Linked DNA regions of Callithrix jacchus. The protein of the gene in region 2 binds, or shares a complex with, the protein of the main gene of each other region. Links are inferred from orthologs where the notes say so. Each region holds a gene or a part of one and is shown on either strand. Other genes may lie near its edges. The genes, in order: PRDX1 and SIRT5.

Region 1 (10,704 bases), on a different chromosome or scaffold from region 2:
ACTCTCAACTTCAGGTGATCAGTCCATGTCGGCCTCCCAAAATGTTCAGATTACAGGTGTGAGCCACCATGCCCGGCCTCTTTTGGTTCTTAAATGAGATAAATAAACTCAAGTGCTCAGCCCAGTGCCTGGCACATGGTGGATAAAATAGGTGACAATTTTCTTTGGGCTGAAGTATGACTGTGTGCACTATGTATTGGTTTAGTCTGCCCGTAGCCTCCATTATTAAGCTCTGAACTTTTATGCTGCCTCTGCTCCTTCAAGAAAGAAAGGAGAGTCTCTCTGAGCCTAAACTGGCTTGGGTGGCTGCCTGATAAAAAATAATGAAAGTGATATAAAAGTTAAAAAAAATGCATAAGCAGTAAGGACAGAAATATAAAACAAAAACAAAAACAAAACAAAACAAACAAAAAAAGTTAAAAAACAAAAAAGGAATAATGCCAAATAACTATTCAGCCTCAAGCAAAGAAGGAAAAAGCAAATAAATCATTACTATGCAAGGTAGTATGATAAATAACAAAAATTGAGACGCTCAGTCATCATGACATAGCACTTTCTCATTCATTATCCTACTATAAAAGCCAAGGGAGTTAGTGGGGGAAGTGGGGACAGAGAGAGGAACGGAATACTATTGATTGAATGCCCACTGACTGAGCTCCTATTTTACATCAGATGTTGTGTTGTGACTTGGGGACACAGAGACAGATGTGACCCACATCCTACTCTCCAGAAAGTCACTCTAGCAGGCAGAGGCAGAGATATAAAAATAAAATTGCTTAAAATATATTTTTGGGCCAGGCATGGTGGTTCATGCCTGTAATCCCAGCACTTTGGGAGACTGAGGCAGACGGATTACAAGGTCAAGAGACTGAGATCACCTTGGCCAACATGGTGAAACTCTGTCTCTACTAAGAATACGAAAATTAGGGCCGGGCGCGGTGGCTCAAGCCTGTAATCACAGCACATTGGGAGGCCGAGGCGGGTGGATCACGAGGTCAAGAGATTGAGACCATCCTGGTCAACATGGTGAAACCCCGCCTCTACTAAAAATACAAAAAATTAGCTGGGCATGGTGGCGTGTGCCTGTAATCCCAGCTACTCAGGAGGCTGAGGCAGGGGAATTGCCTGAACCCAGGAGGCGGAGGTTGCAGTGGGCCGAGATCGCGCCATTGCACTCCAGCCTGGGTAACAAGAGAGAAACTCCGTCTCAAAAAAAAAAAAGGAATAAGAAAATTAGTTGGGTGTGGTGGCACGCACCTGTAATCCCAGCTATTCAGAAGGCTGAGGCAGGAGAATCACTTGAACCTGGGAGGCAGAGGTTGCAGTGAGCTGAGATCATGCCATTGCACTCCAGCCTGGTGACAGAGTGAGACTCCATCTCAAAAAAAAAAAAAAAAAAAAAAAAAAAAATATATATATGGCTATTGTTTGGACACAAAGAAGGGGAATTGTAAATCCTGGGAATGAGTGAAGGTAAGACACACTTTGAGAGGAAGTAATGCTTCAGCTGACTCTTGAAAGATGTTTTCTCTAGGCCAGTTAGGAGGGAAAGAGTTTTCCAGGTTCGAACAAAAGTCTGAAGGCGGCCGGGAACGGTGGCTGGCTCCTGTAATCCCAGCACTTTGGGAGGCTGAGGTGGGTTGATCACCTGAGGTCAGGAGTTTGAGACCAGCCTGGCTAACATGGTGAAATCCCATCTCTACTAAAGATAGAAAAAATTAGCCAGGCGTGGTAACGCATACCTATAGTCCTAGCTGTCCTAGCTACTCAGGAGGCTGAGGCAGGAGAATCACTTGAACCTGGGAGGCAGAGGCTCCAATGAGCTGAAATCTTGCTGTTGCACTCCAGCCTGGGAGCACAAACGAAACTCTGTCTCAAAAAAAAAAAAAAAAAAAAAAAGTCTGAAGGCTTGAAACAGCTACGCTGTGTTCTGGGTGTTATAAGTGAGAGGAATGGAAGAGTTACAGTAACTGCTAACATTACTAATTTATAAGAACTAAGAACTGTACTGAACTACATAGATAATCACAATGAAGTATGAATATTATTCCCATTTTACAGGTGAGAAAAGTAAGGTTTGATGGGTTTAAGAATTGCCCAAGGTCATACCTAAAATGACAGCGAGGAATTTTTTTTTTTTTTTTTTTGAGACAGAGTCACTCTGTCACCCAGGGTGGAATGCATTACGCAGCTCACTGCAACCTCCGCCTCCTGGGTTCAAGCGATTCTCCTGCCTCAGCCTCCAGAGTAGCTGGGATTACAGGTGCCTGCCACTATGCCCAGCTAAATTTTTTTTGTATTTTTAGTACAGACGGGGTTTCACCATGTTGGTCTCGAACTCCTGACCTCAGGTGATCCTCCCACCTCCCAAAGTGTTGGGATTATAGGTGTGAGCCACCGTGCCTGGCCAGTGAGGAGTTTTAACTCAGTAAATTGACTACAGAGCCCCAGCTTTTATTTATTTATTTATTTATTTGAGACAGAGTCTCACTCTGTTGCCCAGGCTGGAGTGCAGTGGTGTGATCTGGGCTCACTGCAACCTCTGCTTCCCAGGTTCAAGTGATTCTTTTGCTTCAGCCTCCTGATTAGCTGGGATTACAGGCACCCACCATCATGCCCAGCTAATTTTTGGTTTGTAGAGACAGGGTTTCACCACGTTGGCCAGGCTGGTCTCGAACTCCTGATCTCAGTAATCCGCTTGCCTCAGGCCTCCCAAAGTGCTGGGATTACAAGAGTGAGCCACCGCGCCTGGCCCTTATCCCCAGCTTTTAAACCACAAATAAAAGTGACATGATCAAATTTCAGAAGGATTTCCTTTAGCTGCAGTGGAAGGGATGGAGAAGAGAGAGCATTAATTGAAATGAATGACTAAACTGACTAAACTACGTCAGAGACACTTCTGTGACTGTTTCTTCCCAAGTGGTTCTCAGGAGGTTTTTAGTATTTATACATTTTCCTTGAAAAGTGGGGGTGGGAGTGAGACGAAGACTTTAGCTAATTCTAAGCAAATCTACATTTTTACATAAGATAAGGTGAACGGGCCAGGCACGGTGGCTCAAGCCTATAATCCCAGCACTTTGGGAGGCTGAGGCGGGTGGATCACGAGGTCAAGAGATTGAGACCATCCTGGTCAACATGGTCAAACCCCGTTTCTACTAAAAATACAAAAATTAGCTGGGCATGGTGGTGCGCGCCTGTATTCCCAGCTACTCGGGAGGCTGAGGCAGGAGAATTGCTTGAACCCAGGAGGCGGAGGTTACGGTGAGCCGAGATTGTGCCATTGCAGTCCAGCCTGGGTAACAAGACCGAAACTCTGTCTCAGAAAAAGTTAAGGTGAACGTTTGAGGAAAAAGGGAATACAGGAAAAAAAACATGTGGTGGACTCAGGGAGGGGTGAGGGAATCTGCACCTGAAAAGATTATCTAGTAGTCAACATTTATGGAATTTCTGGAATGGAGGCCAGCTGCGGTGGCTCACGCCTTTAATTCCAGCACTTTGGGAGGCTAAGGCGAGCTGTTGGAGACCAGGCTTTGGAAACCAGCGTATCCAACAAGGTAAAATTCCATCTCTTCTAAAAATACCAAAAATTAGCTGGGCGTGGTGACGGGTGCCTGTAGTTTCAGCTACTCCGGAGGCTAGGCGGAAGAATCGCTTGAGCCTGGCATGCGGAGGTTGCAGTAAGCCAACACCCGGTCACTGCACTGCAGCCTGGGAGACAAAGTGAGTGAGACTCCGTCTCAAAAAAAAAAAAAAAAAAAGCGTAATAGAACAAACTTTAGTTTTAGGAACTAGACTTTAGATTGAAGATCTAGTTACAGTTGACACGTCCTTGTTTTATGGGAGGCTATAACGGTTTCCAGGGTAGCAAACAATTATGAATGATTTTGTGAGTGTGTTTGTCGGGGGTAGTCATCAGGAAATGTCTGAGGCCTTTTGCCTAACCGTGTGTGATGGATGGCTAATGTGTGATGTTTTGACCCAAGATTGTAAAGTCAGTTATTCATCCGTAGAGAGGATGGTTGTGTACCTGAGTCAGCCTCCCAAGCTGAACTTTCACAAGTTTAGGTGTCCTCAGACTTTATTTTCCTTTACAACAGAAAGCAGCAACCCTGTAATCAAAGTGAACAGTGAAGGAAACGATGTAAGCTATGAGGGTTACTCAGGAGTTACTCAGGATCTGAGGTGGGGTTAAGGTTGCGAATTTAAGAAATATTTGGATATACAGTTCTCAGGGCTTGGTATGGTTCGACGTGGTCCTCCGTGGGCAGCAGCTAGGAGGCTTACTCCGGGTTGGGCATTGAGGGTACAGTGCGCAGTGGTCCTGGAAGTAAAGAGAATCCTGGTTTTCCGCAGAGATCTAGGATCAACCTAAACGTTTGGGTTTGGGAGCGGCCACAAGGGTGCCTCACTCCAACCTCTGCAGTCCGCAGTAGGGAGGGGGATTAGCATTTCCGCGCCCGCCCCCAAGAGGGAAAGCGCCGAGTCATTCTGGCGGGGCGCGCCAGGGTGGGGCGGGGTTCCTGCCACATCCCCCTCCCCTCTCTCCTCCTCCTGCACCCCCGGCCTGCTTCGACTCTCGCGAGAGCCGTAATAGCTATAAAGGCTGCGCCTCGAGCGAGTTTTGCGCGTCCTCTTTCTGTCCGGTGGTTTGTTCTCTGAGGCTTGTGTCAGGACTGGTGAGTGTGAGCGGCGCGGCCTTAGCTGAGCGAGGTGCGGCGCGTACTTGCCTTTTGCCTCTTCCTCCTCCTGTCCGGGGCCCGTCTGCGCTCGGCTTGGGGTTCTGTGGTGCTTGAGGGAGCGGGGGGAGGCCCGGCGCCCGAGACTGCCTGAGCGCTACGTGCACCCCTCACGTGGCCCCCCCGCGTAGGTGGGGGCACCTGGTTGAATCCCAAGTCTAGCGTGGATGCTAGTCGAGTCTTACCCCGGCAACCCGAGCACGTGAAGCGGCATCGGGGCGGGCTGGTGGTGGGGTCTCTAACTCTAGCTTCCTGCTGGGCTGGGTGGGTTCGGGAAGGTTCTGGAATGGACCTGTGTCCGGACTAGTGGCTGTAGAAAACAGCCTATACTTGTCTATCTTGTGATAGGGTAAAGGCTGTTCCGGGTCCTGAGCCTTGACTAGATTCGGAGTTTCGGGTACTTTCCCCATCTTTATTTTCTTGTACGTGGAATGGAATTAAGAGCCCAAATGCCCCCGCTGAAGCACTCTTTCTGCTGGTGCTTTCCCTGTGTTGGGTGTGATAGAGCCGGGTACCTGGAGTTTAGGGGTGTGGCCCTCGGCACTGAGCAGATCCCCTGAAGGGACCCGGCGCCGCCCGAAAACCCAGCAGCCTTTACCCAGAATTGGTTGGGTTTTGGACTTTCGGGCCAACTGGGAATGTAGGTTTGGACAAGAGGCCATTTATAGGGTCACCAAGTTGCAGTATGCCTTAGTTTTTTGTTTTTGTGTTTTGTCGTTAAAGGTTTTAAGGACTTTTTTTTTTTTAGGCGACTTTTAAAAAAGCAGTAAAAAGTTGGCTAAGATCCTTGCTCACAGAGTTTCTTTTGGTTGTGGTATTATGAACCAAGAACTTTGGGACTTTGAGAAAACTTTGAGACCGAGGCTTAGTGGGTTAAATCTCTGGTTTTTTTTTTTTTTTTTTCTTTTTTTGAGACGGAATTTCGCTCTGTCAGCCAGGCTGGAGTGCAGTGGTGCGATCTCGGCTCAGTGCAACCTCCGCCTCCCGGGTTCAAGCGATTCTCCTGCCCGAGCCTCCCGAGTAGCCAGGATTACAGGCTTGAGACGGGGCTCCCGGCCAAGATCTCGATACTCATCTTGGTGTTGACCTGGGTGAATCCAGCGCAACATTTCTTTTCAGCAGTAAATTTGTTCTTGTTCTTATTTTCGTCCTGTGATATTAGACCCGAAGTCAGAAACCCGTTTGTGAAGGGACTTCTCGGGTGTACACAATACCTAAAGATTTGAAATTGAGCAGATGCCAATATCTTGGTCTTGTCTCTTTTTTCTTTGTGTTTTTCTTTCTTTTCTTTTGAGATCGTGTGTTGCTCTGTCGCCTAGACTGAACTGTAGTGGCGCGATCTTGGCTTACCCTCGCGGTGGCTCGCTTCTGTAATCCCAGCACTTTGGGAGGCCGATGCGAGTGGATCACTTGAGGTTGGGAGTTCGAGACCAGCCTGAGCAACATGGAGAAACCCTGTCTCTACTAAAAATACAAAAAAATTAGCCGGTTGTGGTGGCGCATGCCTGTAATCTCAGCCACTCAGGAGTCTGAGGCAGGAGAATCGCTTGTACCCTGGAGGGCAGAGGTTGCCGTGAGCCGAGATTGTGTCATTGCATTCCAGCCTGGGCAACAAGAGCGAAACTACGTCTCAAAAAAAAAGTTGTATTGGCTGTAGGTGTGTGCTGTTTTAGACACAGCTACCTGGAGAAAAGTCAAATATGCTTCTGACGTTATGAAGGCTGGTGGAGGCCCAGTAATGGGAAAGGTCAACATGATTTTTTCCAGGCCAAACAAAAGCGTTTGTGGCATTGTGCATTTGGATTCTGGTTTGAGAGTCTTCACCTGCTCCATCTCTGCTTCTGTATAATGAGTAAGATGCCTGCACAAATCATGATTCAGAAAGAGTGAGAGGTGACTTCAGTATATGAAGAAATTGCCTTGCTGTTTTTAAATGAAAACAAAGGCCGAGATTCAGAGTCTTGTTTTGTTCCACAAGTTGGAAAGCTCAGATTGCTTGAGCTTCTTACTAATACAACATTTAACGTATTCAGGGACATACTGGACAATTCCTTGATTGTTCTACAGCTAAGTCTCTTAGTAGGTGCAGGCTGCCGGTTATCTAGAAAATTAAGGCTTGTTTCTAATTCATTTCTCTTTTCCAGCTGATAGGAAGATGTCTTCAGGAAATGCTAAAATTGGGCACCCTGCCCCCAACTTCAAAGCCACAGCTGTTATGCCAGATGGTCAGTTTAAAGATATCAGCCTGTCGGACTACAAAGGTAAAAGTAATTACACTGGGCTCATTGAGATGGAGTTATTTTATATTCTAGAAATGGCATGTTAGATCTGTGTCAGTGTTGTGTTTGACTGTAAAATGTTTTGTCTCCTAGGAATAAGTATTTTGGTTGTTGCCTTCATGTTGAAGTGAAGTGGTGATTAATCAAGTGATTACAGTGTATATATCCTAGGACCAGACCACTTCTGGAGAAACCACATGCTCCATTATGTTTGGACATACTAGTTCAGTTTTCTCTTGAGTATTCCTTGTCTTTTTATTTATTTTATTTTAATTTTTGAGACAGGGTTTCATTGCATCACCCCCCAGGCTGGAGTGCAGTGTAGCAGTCATGGCTCACTGAGGCCTCTGCCTCTCTGGGCTCAGCTGATCCTCCCACCTTAGCCTCTTGCATAGCTGGGACTGTAGGGGCATACCACCACGCCCGGCTAGTTTTTGCATTTTTTGTAGAGATGGGCATCATGTTGCCCAGGCTGGTCTCCACCTCCTGGGCTCAGGCCCTCTGCCTGCCCTAGTCTTTCAAAGTGCTGGGATTACAGGAGTGAGCCACTGCATTCCACTCTCCTCTGTTTTATTATTGGAGAAATTCTCATTATCTCATTATAAGAGATATTCTACATTTAAAGTCTTGAAGCTCACTCAAATCTTTGGAGCTGTGACACTGCTTGTAAAGCTTGTTTGGGTCACATATATATCACAGCTGTTAATATTAGACTGAGGGCTGGGCACTTTGCCTTGACTGTTTTGACCCCAGAGGAGAGTTGATGTTATAGATGGAACAACTCTTCTTTCTGTTGTCATAGTTTCATGCAGACACTTGGCAAGTTCTGTTGAGGCTCTCCGTTTGTCTTGTAGTTCCAGAGCAGCTGGATCTCCTGGGACAGTTGAGGATATAGATTCCTTAGAATGCAAACCTGAAACTCAGGTGTAAAGTGTCCTTTTCTCAGTGGTGTAGCATCAGGTTCTGGAGTTCGCTTTTGGTAAGAGCATTTGACTATTTTTCCTGAACATAATCACACTTAGTTGTTGGGGCTTTTCCTGGCAAAGAAGATTAAGTTGTACCATAGAGAGGTGACCTTGGCCCAGGAGTATAAGCAGGAAGTCTAGGAGGAGCTGCTTTCTGCCCTTCAGGGCTTGACCTGCTGAGGCCCCATGGTGCTTGTTAGGCAAAGCCCTGAGGAGTTGTTTAGATGAGTTAGGTTCCAGTGATACTGCACAATGGTAAATGTCAAAAAGGGCTGCTTGTTTGACTTGACTTTTTTGAGATGGAATTTTGCTCTTGTGGCACAGCCTATAGTACAGTGGTGTGATCTTGGCTGGTCTTGAACTCCTAACCTCAAGCAATCCTCCCATCTTGGCCTCCAAAAGTGCTGGGATGACAGCACCTGAGCCACATTGCCCGGCGTCCAAAAGTGCTGGGATGACAGCACCTGAGCCACATTGCCCAGCCTCCTTAGTTTTTTTTTTTTTTTTTTTTTTGACAGTTTCGCTCTTGTTACCCAGGCTGGAGTGCAATGGCGCCATCTCAGCTCACCACAACCTCTGCCTCCTGGGTTCAGGCAATTCTCCTGCCTCAGCCTCCTGAGTAGCTGGGATTACAGGCATGTGCCACCATGTCCAGCTAATTTTTTGTATTTTTAGTAGAGACGGGGTTTCACCATGTTGACCAGGATGGTCTTGATCTCTTGACCTCGTGATCCACCTGCCTTGGCCTCCCAAAGTGCTGGGATTACAGGCTTGGGCCACCGCGCCCAGCCCTAAGTTTTGTATTTTTAATAGACTAGTTTCACCATGTTGGTGAGGCTGGTCTTGAACTCTTGACCTCAGGTGATCCACCTGACAGCCTCCCAAAGTGATAGGATTACAGGCATGAGCCACCATGCCAGACTTAGCCACCACACCCAGCCTGTCTGACTTTCAAACATTGCTGCTCCCTGGAAATGAGGGAATGTTTGGAATTGTTTAAGTATTTAGGCCTGTTGGTTGTGGCTAGAAGGCTGCCTGGCCAGTTCGAAGAGCTATTTCAATGGTTAATCTGAGTGACTTCATTAAAATTGCAGCTAGAGGTTCTGTTACTCACTAATACTTTTGTCTTTTCTGTGTGTGTTTATGTCTATGTATTTTTTTTTTTTTTTTTTTTGAGACGGAGTTTCGCTCTTGCTACCCAGGCTGGAGTGCAATGGCGCGATCTCGGCTCACTGCAATCTCCGCCTCCTGGGTTCAGGCAATTCTCCTGCCTCAGCCTCCCGAGCAGCTGGGATTACAGGCATGCACCACCGTGCCCAGCTAATTTTTTGTAATTTTAGTAGAGACGGGGTTTCACCATGTTGACCAAGATGGTCTCGATCTGTTGACCTCATGATCCACCCGCCTCGGCCTCCCAAAGTGCTGGGATTACAGGCTTGAGCCACCGTGCCCGGCTGTATTTTTGTTTTGAGACAGTCTTGCTATGTTGCCCAGACTGGCCTCAAACTCGTGGCTCAAGGGATCCTCCCACCTGAGCCTCCTGAGTAGCTGGGACTATAGGCACACACCACTGTGCCTAGTTTAAAATTTTTCCTGTCTTGTCAGGCAGAGTAGGAACACACATATGATTACTTAAACCATACTTGTTCCATTACTATAGTTCATCGTGAGAGAAGTGCAAAGGCTCTGACTTCTTATTGGTCTTTTTTTTTTTTTTGAGATGGAGTTTCGCTCTTGTTACCCAGACTGGAGTGCAATGGCGCGATCTCGGCTCACCGCAACCTCCAACTCCTGGGTTCAGGCAATTCTCCTGCCTCAGCCTTCTGAGTAGCTGGGATTAAAGGCACGTGCCACTGTGCCCAGCTAATTTTTGTATTTTTAGTAGAGACGGGGTTTCACCTTGTTGACCAGGATGGTCTCGATCTCTTGACCTCGTGATCCACCCGCCTAGGCCTCCCAAAGTGCTGGGATTACAGGTGTTAGCCACTGTGCCCAGCCTCTTATTGGTCTTTTATCTCTACAGGAGAGGAGCTCTGCAGTTCAGCTTTTTCTGGGCACTGTTTGTTAAGCATTGGCATTAGGCCATGCAGTAGATAATTGTGTCCTTGCTTTTGCTGTCTTCTTTGGAGAACTTGGTGTTTATGCTTATTTTAACCCCTCAGAAAAGATCAAAATTAGTGTTTATTTTGTAGTTGGCAGCTAAGAACATGGAGGCAGGCAAATAAGTAATTGGATTGGAAGGAACTTTTTTTCATTCAGATCTTCCTACTGCAGTAGGTTCTTTTTTTTTTTTTTTGAGACGGAGTTTCACTGTTGTTACCCAGGCTGGAGTGCAATGGCGCGATCTCGGCTCACCGCAACCTCCGCCTCCTGGGTTCAAGCAATTCTCCTGCCTCAGCCTCCCGAGTAGCTGGGACTATACGTGCCCACCACCATGCCCAGCTACTTTTTGTATTTTTAGTAGAGACGGGGTTTCACCTTGTTGACCAGGATGGTCTTGATCTCTTGACCTCGTGATCCACCCTCCCCAGCCTTCCAAAGTGCTGGGATTATAGGCGTGAGCCACCGCTCCCCGCCCTACTGCAGTAGGTTCTAAAAGTAGCTACTTAGGAGGACATCCATATTGAGCATCTTGGCATTTAGTGGTTAATAGGGAAAAAATATAAAGCAAGGAAGTCTGTTACAAATGCTAACCTATGACTCCTACTTTTCCCTCAGGAAAAT
Region 2 (10,091 bases):
TCAGTTTTACTGTGGACATTTTTTTCCCATTTTCACATCTCTGAAATTCAGATGTCCTACCGTTTACTGGCCAGATGAGAGTGTGACCTCACCAACATGCTTGCACAGACTTGTTGAAGGAGAACACTGAAAAGTGGGGTGACTTGGTTGTTATTCTCCGTGGCCTGACCGGGCAGATACAACCTCTGGATACTTCCACCAACAAACCATTCAAGGGCCACTTCCGGGAGGAAAGCAAGTTCTGGCTGTGTCTACAGCCTTTCCACTGACACCGTTTGGTAAGAGCATGAAAGGCTCAATAGCGCACCTGTGGAGTGTGTGTCAGAAGCTTGGATGAGAATCCCAGCTGTAACAGAGGGGCATTCTCTCAAGAAAGGCTGCATCATCCATCTCCTGAGGTACAGAGCGTGAAACTGCATGGAAAACACAGACCCATCCATGCTCTGAGTCACTCAGAATCACTCAGAAGAGCTAGATAATGAGAAATATTTGGACCATGCTCATGCTTTATGTATGCCTGGAAAGATAAAATTTCTAAAGAAGGTGTCTCAGTTTTAATAAGCTCTTTCTCTAAGTATAAAATAACAATTCTAAGGAATAATAACAGTATATCATGGTTTAGGCAGATTATATTCTAAGTGCCACATTAAAAACATGATGCATCTTAAAAAAAAACCTTCATCAGACAGAAGATGCCACTGATTTTTTTTTAACCTAGGTTGGAAGAGAGTTCTCATCTTTTGAAACTAAAAAAAAAAAGTCCTAACACATATATATGTATGATCTTATTTAACCTTCACAACGATTCTGTAAAATAGGCATTGTCATCTCCATTTTATGCCGATGACTAGCCCACATTCTGACATTGCAGGGAAATGAGCAGAGGCATGTGGAAAGCGGCTCAGACCCAGCAGATGCAGGTACCGAAAAGTTGTTCGGTTAATAGGTGGCTGACTGTTCCAGGCACACAAAAGAGAAACAGGGTCGAAGTGAGTAGTGTCTCCCTGTCTTTATCAGGGTGACCTAAGTAAAAGGAGGTAGCTTCACCACACACACCCAAAATCAAACACCCCCACTGGTGCCCTGCCTCTGGAAATTCTACACTTAGAAATGCATTCTTGGCTGGCGCAGTGGCTCACGCCTATAATCCCAAAACTTCAGGAGGCTGAGGACAGAGGATTACTTGAGGCCAAGAATTCAAGACCAGTCTGGACAATATGGTGAGACACCATTCTACAAAAAAAATTTTTTTAATTAGCTGGGCATAGTGGCATGGGCCTGTGGTCCCAGCTACTCTGGAGGCTGAGGTGGGAGGATCCCTTGAGACCATGAGTTCAAGGCAGCAATGAGCTATGATCAGGCTACTGCACCCCAGCCTGGGCAAGAATGAAACCCCCATCTCAAAAAAAAATTAAGAGAAATAAATTCTTAAAATATAAGAAATGCATTCCTTGGATTTGAATGCAGACTCTTTAAATGCAAGTGGCTTTGGGAGAAACCCTAGTTTGCCCATTATGACCGTGGAAGAATGGATGTATTAGATTTAGGGTGACAGCAAAGAAGGGAGGAGCCAAAAGACAGAGTGAAGAGATGAGGGGCCACCCAGGACAGAGGAAGGAGGCCACAGGGACCCAAGACAAACTCCACTGACATCACAGGCTAGGTGGGGTTGGTGCAGTACCTGGTACTGAGCTGGCAGCTCCCTGAGGTTCCAGGCCGAGGCAGAAGCACAGTCTCAGTGGGGAGTGTCCACCGGGGCAAACAGAGAGGGAGAGGAGACCCCCAGATGCCATAGCCTGCCCCTGCCTGATCCTGCTCAAGCCCTGCCTGTCCAATGGGCCAGGCCTTCTGTTCCTCGGCTCAGTGAGGCCATTGTCTCACAGCACTGCACCCCTCTACAGAGGCAGGGGTCACACAGCTGTGCAGCCCAGCGTTCCTCCAGTGTAAAAGGCACTTCGGCCACCTGGGCTCATGGGAAAATGCAGATTCTGATTTTGTGGGTCCGATGGGGCCTGAGATTCTGCATTTCTAACAAGCTCTCAGGGGATGCCAAACGTTGCTGGCTCTCAGACCACACTGAGCAGTGAGGATGTAGGAACTGCCAAGTGAATAATGTCAGTGGGTCAGGGCTCCTCCCATGGCCAAAGGCAGCTGCCCAGGTGCCACAGGGCACTAACATGTCCCGGAAGGAAATGCCACAGCATCCTAAAGGACGAGATGGGTGTCCAGCAAGGAGGGAGGGAGGCCAACAGAGGTGATGCTGAAATGGCAGGATAGGTGTTCTAAAGCTGGTTCCCTGAACATGAGGCGGGGGGTACCTCACCATGGATCTCCAGAAGGTTTTTGGTGCCAGCCTTGCGGTGCAGTTCATCGATGTTCTGGGTGATGACCATGACTCGCCGGCCCTGCTTGCCCAGCCGGGCCTCACACTCTGCTATGGCACGGTGCCCGGCGTTGGGCTCCTTGCTCACCATGACCTCCCGCCGGTAGTGGTAGAACTCCCACACCCGGGACGGGTTGTGGGAAAAGGCCAGGGGAGTCGCCAGGTCCTGGGAGTGGGAGAGGAGATAGGAGTGAGGGAGGCAGAGGCAGCCAGGATGCTGAACCCTGGGCACAGGCCTTTCCTCCCTAAGGCAGAAACAAGCAGCATTGGGAGGGTGCAGGCTGGAGGTCGAAGCACTAGGTTCAAACAACATGGCATATGCCACGTGGCAGGGCCTGGGTACCAGCCTATGTCCCCATCCTGGGACTGCCCTGGGACCTTGGAGAAATCAGTTTCCTTAGTGACAAGGCAGGAAGAATGCAACCTATCCCATTCCCCCACACCAAGTAAGTTGTGAACATGAAGTAAAGTAACATGCAGGAAGGTATTTTGGGTCAAATCGCCTTTTTCATGGAGCTCTAAAATATGAAGTGGATCTCATTTTGACCTATACCCAGGAAAAACATAAAATGCAAAATGCCCATTGAGGTCTAATGACCATGGTTGAGAAACTCAGTTTTTATAACTATAGCTATGGCTCTACACACACACACAACTACACACATCTATACACATGCAACTATACACACGACTAAACATACATACACACAACGACATGCACAACTACACATATACAACTATACATACACACAACTACACACACAACTCAACATACATACGCACAACTACATACAACTCAACTTACATATACACAACTACACATACACAACTCAACATACAAACTACACACAACATACAACTAGACACATCTCAACATACACACTACACACACAACTAAACATGCATACAACACACACATAACTACACATATCTACATACACACACAACTGCATACACATACAACTAGACATACACACGACTAAACATATACATAACTACACACATAAACTAAACACACAAACTAAACACATCTACATATACACTGCACACACACAGCTAAATACACATGACTACACACATCTACAAACACAACTGCACACTACACACACTACACACATACACACAACTACATACACAAACTAAACACAAACTATACACATCTACATATACATTGCACACACACAGCTAAACACACATATACAACTACACAAACTACACACAGCTGCACACACAACTATATACAACTACACATACACACATACTAAACACATACACACAACTACACACATATAAACTATATGCACATGCAAGCAACTAAACATACGACAGAAACTAAACACACATAAAACTACACACATCTACATATACACTGCAGACACACAGCTAAACACCTCTATATACACACACAACTGCACGCACACAACTACACAAACTAAACATACACAGCTACACACATACATACTACATACACACAACTAAACATACACACAGCTACACACACAACTATACATACATACACACAACTAAACATACACACAGCTACACACACAACTATACACACATACACACAACTAAACATACACTCAGCTACACACACTACACATCTACATACACACACAACTGCACACACACAACTAAACACACATACATCTACATACAACTGCACACACACAACTAAATGTAAACACAACTACAAAAATCTACATACACACAACTGCACACACACAACTAAATGTAAACACAACTACAAAAATCTACATACACACAACTGCACACACAACTAAACATACACACACAACTATACATCTACATACACAAATAAGTGTACACATACAACTAAACACACACAACTAAACATACACAAAACTATATACATCTACACAAACAAGTGCACATACAACTAGACAGATACATCTAAACACACAATTACACAACATACAACTAAACATACACAGCTACATATATCTGTTAATACATACACAACTACACACATCTACATGCATACACAACTATACATACATGCAACTATACACACAACTAAACACACACACAACTACACATAAAAAGTGTATATTATATATAAACAGAACAGATAAAATACATATACTTCAGATATGGTTCTAGGAGAGACAAACCTCCTTTCTCAAAAAGGAGCCGAGTAGAGGTTGAGCTGGGAGCTGGCAGGGAAAGGCATAGGGAACTTGCAGCAAGGACTGAAACGTTGTTTCTTGACAGTGGAGGTGGGGTGTTATATGAGTGCATGCACCTGTCAAAACTCATCAAACACAATGCACACAGGTGCATTTTATTCTAAGGAAATTCTGCCTCAATAATAATTTTTAAAAGAAGCATGGCTTCTCTATCAAGGAGACGCTTCCTACACTGAACACGTGTGCATTTCATTCTACTGTAAAGGCCCCTCTGCTTGGAGGCAATGTCAGCCTTTGCCACATGAGGGGCTTGCTCTCCATGCAGAACACACAGCCTGGAGTAGTTTATAGGTGGCACACGAACATGTCCACAGGTGTCCTTGGAAGGAGGTTGGAGTCAAATACATTCTGTCTACTTCTATGCTTTGCCCACAAACTCTGAGCTTTTTTGGACACAACTAAGCGCCCCTCTTCCAAGCTCCTCCCACACCCTCTGACCTCCCACCCTCTGCTGCTAATCAAGGGACTTCCCTGTGGTTCCTCTTTCTTGCTGGCCCCTAAAGTTCTCTGCTCTCTTTTCTCCCCCACTTCACCTTTAAGGTAACAACCCCCACCCTTCACCTAGAGGGCAGAAGGCAGGAGGCAAAACACCCAAACACCTGCCAGCCTCGGCTGTTCAGAAGAAGGAAGGGGCAGGTTCATGAACTCTGCATTCAGTGAGAAATAAGCTACTAACCCTGGAAGACATTTATTTATTCCTGCTTTCATTCAACCAACGAAAACCTATTAAGCACCTATAATGTGCCAGAGTTCTGGAAACTGGAGACAGTGCAATGAATAAAACAAACAGAGGCCTGGTATGGTGGCTCACGCCTGTAATCCCAGCACTTTGGGAGCCCGAGCAGGCAGATCACCTAAGGTCAGGAGTTCGAGACCAGCCTGGCCAATGTGGTGAAACCCCATCTCTACTAAAAATACAAAAATTAGTGGAGTGTGGCAGTGCATGCCTGTAACCCCAGCTACTAGGGAGGCTGAGGCAGGAGAATCACTTGAACCTGGGAGGTGGAGATTGTAGTGAGCTGAGATCATGCCACTGTACTCCAGCCTGGGCAACAAGCAAAACTCCATCTCAGAAACGAACAAATAAACAATTCCTTGTCCTCCAAAACTAGGATTTCCTGAGCCAGTGGGATGGGAGAGCACAGACTACAAAGGGCCATGAGGGAATGTTCTGGAGGGATAGAAATGTTCTACATTCTGATTATGGTGCTGGCTATACAACTATGTCCATTTGTTAAAACTTACTAAATTGTACACTTAAAATTGGTGACTTTTACTTTATGTATATTAGATCTAAAAAAATTGAATTTAAAAAATCCACACCATCACAGAGCTTACATTCTGAAGGCTTTCCTATAGATTTTTGAATATCGAACCCTAATCTTTCAATAATCAACATTAGTTTTAATTTTGTCATACGATAAGTGCAGTAACTTTAGGAAAGTAATGAAAGATGCTAACCGTGGTTTTCCGATTTCACTTTAACACAACTATTAGGAGAAACTGATATCTGAATTAATGCAATCTATACATATCTAAAAAGGAGAGTAGCAGCCTTACTTAAATTTTATCTTAATCACAGGAACTTTGTGTTTATGCCAAAAGCAATGGGACAATAGGGTCATAGTTAACTTCCAAAACATTTCCCCAGGTTTCAGGGCTCGGTATAGGATCTGAGTCAAACACTGTTACAGTTTCATCAGAGAGAGGCTTTCAGTGTTCTGGAAACATTACAAACCTGGGCTTGCCATTTTCTCCAATAACCTCCAGCTCCTCTGAAAGTCGGAACGCCACTTTCCACACTAACACCGGCCCCTGAGATGATGACTATGTGCTTTGATTTTGCAAAACACTTCCGAAAATCTGCCATACCTAAACAGAATAAAATCTTCATCAGTCCAGTGTACCATTTGCACATATGTATCCCATATCAATTGTCTATATCTTGAAACTTGACCCAGTGTGAAATCATACTTTAGGATAAACAAACATCAATTCCTGTACCATAAAGACACCATCCTATGAAGGCCTGCTGGGTGAGTGTACAATATTTTAAAGAAGCAGAGGCTTTGGGCACACAAAGCTGGCTTTGCATCTCAGTTCAGCCTCCCAACTAAATGTGTGATCTTATGCAAATTACTTAGCTTTTTCCATTCTCAGTTTCTTTGGCTCTTTGAGGTGCATAGTAGTGCGTTCCCTAGAGCAGGGATTTTACAAAGATTAAAAAAAGCCTAGTAGAAGCTGGGCATGGTGGCTCACACCTGTAATCCCAGCACTTTGGGAGGGAGAGGCAGGTGGATCACAAGGTCAGGAGTTTGAGACCAGCCTGGCCAACATGATGAAACCCCATCTCTACTAAAAACGCAAAAATTAGCTGGGCATGGTGGTGGGCACCTGTAATCCCAGCTACTTGGAAGGCTGAGGCAGGAGAATAGCTTGAACCAAGGAGGCGGAGGTTGCAGTGAGCCAAGACTGTGCCACTGCATTCCAACCTGGGCGACAGAGCGAGACTCCATTAAAAAAAAAAAAAAAAAAGCCTAGTGGGAAGGAATCCATCTTCCTTCATAAAAGTAAAAACAGGCCTGTATGTTTGTGTGAGTGCTGAGTTGAGGCCCACTGTACCCCAAAGCCTACCCTTCCTCCCTAAATTCACCTTCCCTTTGGGGATCTTGCTACTTTCAGCTTCCCTCAGCACAGCGACTGAAGGAGAGGACAAGGGCCTTATTTGAGGACACATGATCTTCTTGACAACTCAAATAAGAGCCAAACTTTTCAACAGGACACTGCCAGAGACTTGGGAACTGAGCAAAGGGAACTGAGCACAGAGAGTAACACTAGAGGAAGTAACTGTGGATACAGACCAGGGCTCACCCTCCTGTCCTAGAACTCCAGGCAGCCTCCTGCCTGAACACAGACACACAGGGGCAGCAGCTACGATGGCAAGGGCTCCCTGCACCCCAAGTGCTATGCCAAACACTTTACATGGATCACAAGCTGGGATGTTTTCCCTGAAACAACTCTCCTCATGCCAAAAGAAGAAGCAGGAGCCAGACTTGAACTCAGGATGGGGGAGCTGCTACTGTTTCTATTGGGCAGCAGAAACTGGGAAAAGGCTGGAACACAGCTTGTCTCCCCTTTTCTCCCAGACACTACAGCTCTGCAGGCCCTTGTAAGTTAGATAAGCACTATGGCCCTGGAAAGCCAGAATTAAGGGGTATAGCACTGAACATAAGCTGCCAGGAGAAGAGAGAGCCCCTTTTCTGCCCTACCCCTGGAGAAATGAGTGCTGTACCTCATTGCCTGCTGCAGTCCCAAGACACTGAAGCAGGGAATGCCCCGCCCTGGATATGGAGATCTTCCAAGGACGGCCAAGCTGTGTTGAAGCACTAAGGGTTCCAGCAAACATGGAACTGCATTTCTCGGTTGACTAAGCTGGCTTCCTGGCCTTCCTCTCTTGAAAGAATGGCAACCAAGGCTACCCCTTGTACTGAACGAATGAGGGGACGCTAACCCTCCCCTGAAAGATGGAACCAGTGACAGGCAGGAAGCCTGCTAGAAGGAAGATAGTGGGATAGGGGCTTGGAGACAGTGAACTTGAAAATTAAAGGGAACGTGGCCTCATTTTGTATCCCAGCCATAAGGGGCATCCTACTGGTTTTCACGTATGGTTGAGTCCCTCTAAGCAGGGATGGGACTTCCTGGTCCTTCGAAGCCCAGACCCACACACTCTGCCCAGCTCAGGATAGAGACTGTTAATAAGGGCTCAGCCCTTCCTCCCCTTTCCTTATTCTCTTCCCTACCATGGACTCCTGGTAAAAATGAACTCAGAGGAAGAGTAGGCTTTTTCCTCTTGGGCTCCATTCATGTTTTGGCAGCACAAGGCAGAGACAAATTAGGACAGTCACAACACGCCATTCTCATGAGGTGTGACGAACCCAACTACCCCGGCAATCATGCTAAAGCCCTACCTGAACTCACATCCCTTCCCGAGTAGCGTGTTACCTATCAGCAGACAGATAAGGCCTACGACAGGCAGACTAATGTTGTCCAGACGGGAAGCATTTGGAAAAATTACAAACTTGACCTGGTGGATTCCAGTTTCTAATCTGATATAATCTCTTGAAAGAACAAGATGCTTAATAAAAAACATAACATACTTTCCTAGGTTCAACCCATAGGAACATCCTTAAGGACTTCAAAATCTACCCCTAAAACTCCCTCTAGTCCTAAAGGTCCTTTCTATCCCAAATAGAAACTGTCATCCTCCTGATGAATATATTTCTAGGTCAGAGTGACTTCTTTTAAGACAGAGTTTTGCTCTTGGTGCTGTGTGGAGTGCAATGGCGCAATCTCAGCTCACCATAACCTCTGCCTCCTGGGTTCAGGCGATTCTGCTGCCTCAGCTTCCCGAAAGGCTGGGATCACAGGCATGTGCCACCATGCCTGCCTAATTTTGTATTTTTAGTAGAGACAGAGTTTCTCCACGTTGGTCAGGCTGGCCAGAGTGACTTCTATCAAGGTACCCCTTAAAGTTACTTTTAGAAACAAATGTTAAGAGTCAACCTATGTTTCGTTCTTAGAAAACAGGATGTAAAATACAGTAATGTTAACGTGGTATAAAATCTTAAAAAGAAAAAGATATTTCCCAATGGCTAAAGGAAAATACGCCAGCATGTTCTGTGGTTTCAAATGTCAGCGGCCCACTTTTAGCCGAGGTCAGGCACACGCTTCTGCACCCCACCACAGACGCTAGCACCCTGCTAGAATGGAGGTGCAGTGGAACGGGATCTTTCGGTTCTTTTCCACTCCTGGGGCAAAATGGAAGCAGGAGTTATTAATCCTGAGCAGAAAAGTTATCCAAAAGTTGAAAAGGAAGCAAAAAGAATTCAGCTTGGCCTTTCAGTTTCATTCTGAAGCATTGTTCAACAGGCCCACCTAAGAATCGCCGAATTATAAACATTTGTGAGACTTTATATTCTTGTAGACTTGGGGTGCAGATAGGTTAATCTGGAGGTTTCTCCCAGGGAGAGCTACAAAATATTTCTGTCCAGGAGAAAATTTAATCTCACACGGCCCTATAGGACAATCACCAATTTTCCTCCCCTGCAGAGAGATAAGGACTTTAAAGTACAAAACATGTGTCAAAAGCTTAAATGCAAATATTCTGGCAGAAGCAACAAAATGTTCTCCATGGACTTAATGTGAGTATTAAGAAGACCGGCTCTGAAGGCGCCCTAGAAGGGGTGCCCTAAAAGAGAAGAGGACAGGGTGGCTTTCTCCAAAATCTTGCCCAACACCTAATTTGACACTGACATACAAGTGTAGGACTTTTGGGTACTTCACATTCGGCCGCAGGTGAGGCAATGGGTAAGAATGACTTACTTGAACTTGGCCGAGCCATTTTCAGGCAAATCCGGTTTTGTGCGGAGGCTTCAGGCTTCAGGCCACAGTACAGCTGGGAAATCAATCGACTTGGGACAATCTGGAGAGGTCGCATC

Evidence for each region.
Region 1: the proteins of SIRT5 (region 2) and PRDX1 are in contact, whole or in part, in a crystal structure (PDB 8Z54), measured with the Homo sapiens proteins. The link is inferred for Callithrix jacchus from reciprocal best matches to the Homo sapiens genes SIRT5 and PRDX1. Residues at the interface, in NP_001363727.1 of Homo sapiens: Ala86, Tyr102, Arg105, Gln140, Ile142, His158, Val220, Val221, Trp222, Phe223, Gly224, Glu225, Asn226, Leu227, Leu232, Val253, Val254, Tyr255, Pro256; in NP_001189360.1 of Homo sapiens: Phe195, Ser196, Lys197, Gln198.

Annotation. Positions count from the first base shown.
Region 1 is NC_133508.1:82,243,816-82,254,519, reverse strand, and holds the start of PRDX1 (peroxiredoxin-1), read left to right. Parts: upstream 1-4,625; 5' UTR 4,626-4,710; intron 4,711-4,850; exon of another isoform or gene 4,851-5,133; intron 5,134-6,880; 5' UTR 6,881-6,891; coding exon 6,892-6,997; intron 6,998-10,698; coding exon 10,699-10,704. UniProt on the Homo sapiens protein: Thiol-specific peroxidase that catalyzes the reduction of hydrogen peroxide and organic hydroperoxides to water and alcohols, respectively.
Region 2 is NC_133505.1:17,076,008-17,086,098, forward strand, and holds part of SIRT5 (NAD-dependent protein deacylase sirtuin-5, mitochondrial), read right to left. Parts: 5' UTR 10,091-10,091; coding exon 9,976-10,090; intron 6,466-9,975; coding exon 6,332-6,465; intron 2,550-6,331; coding exon 2,324-2,549; intron 1-2,323. UniProt on the Homo sapiens protein: NAD-dependent lysine demalonylase, desuccinylase and deglutarylase that specifically removes malonyl, succinyl and glutaryl groups on target proteins.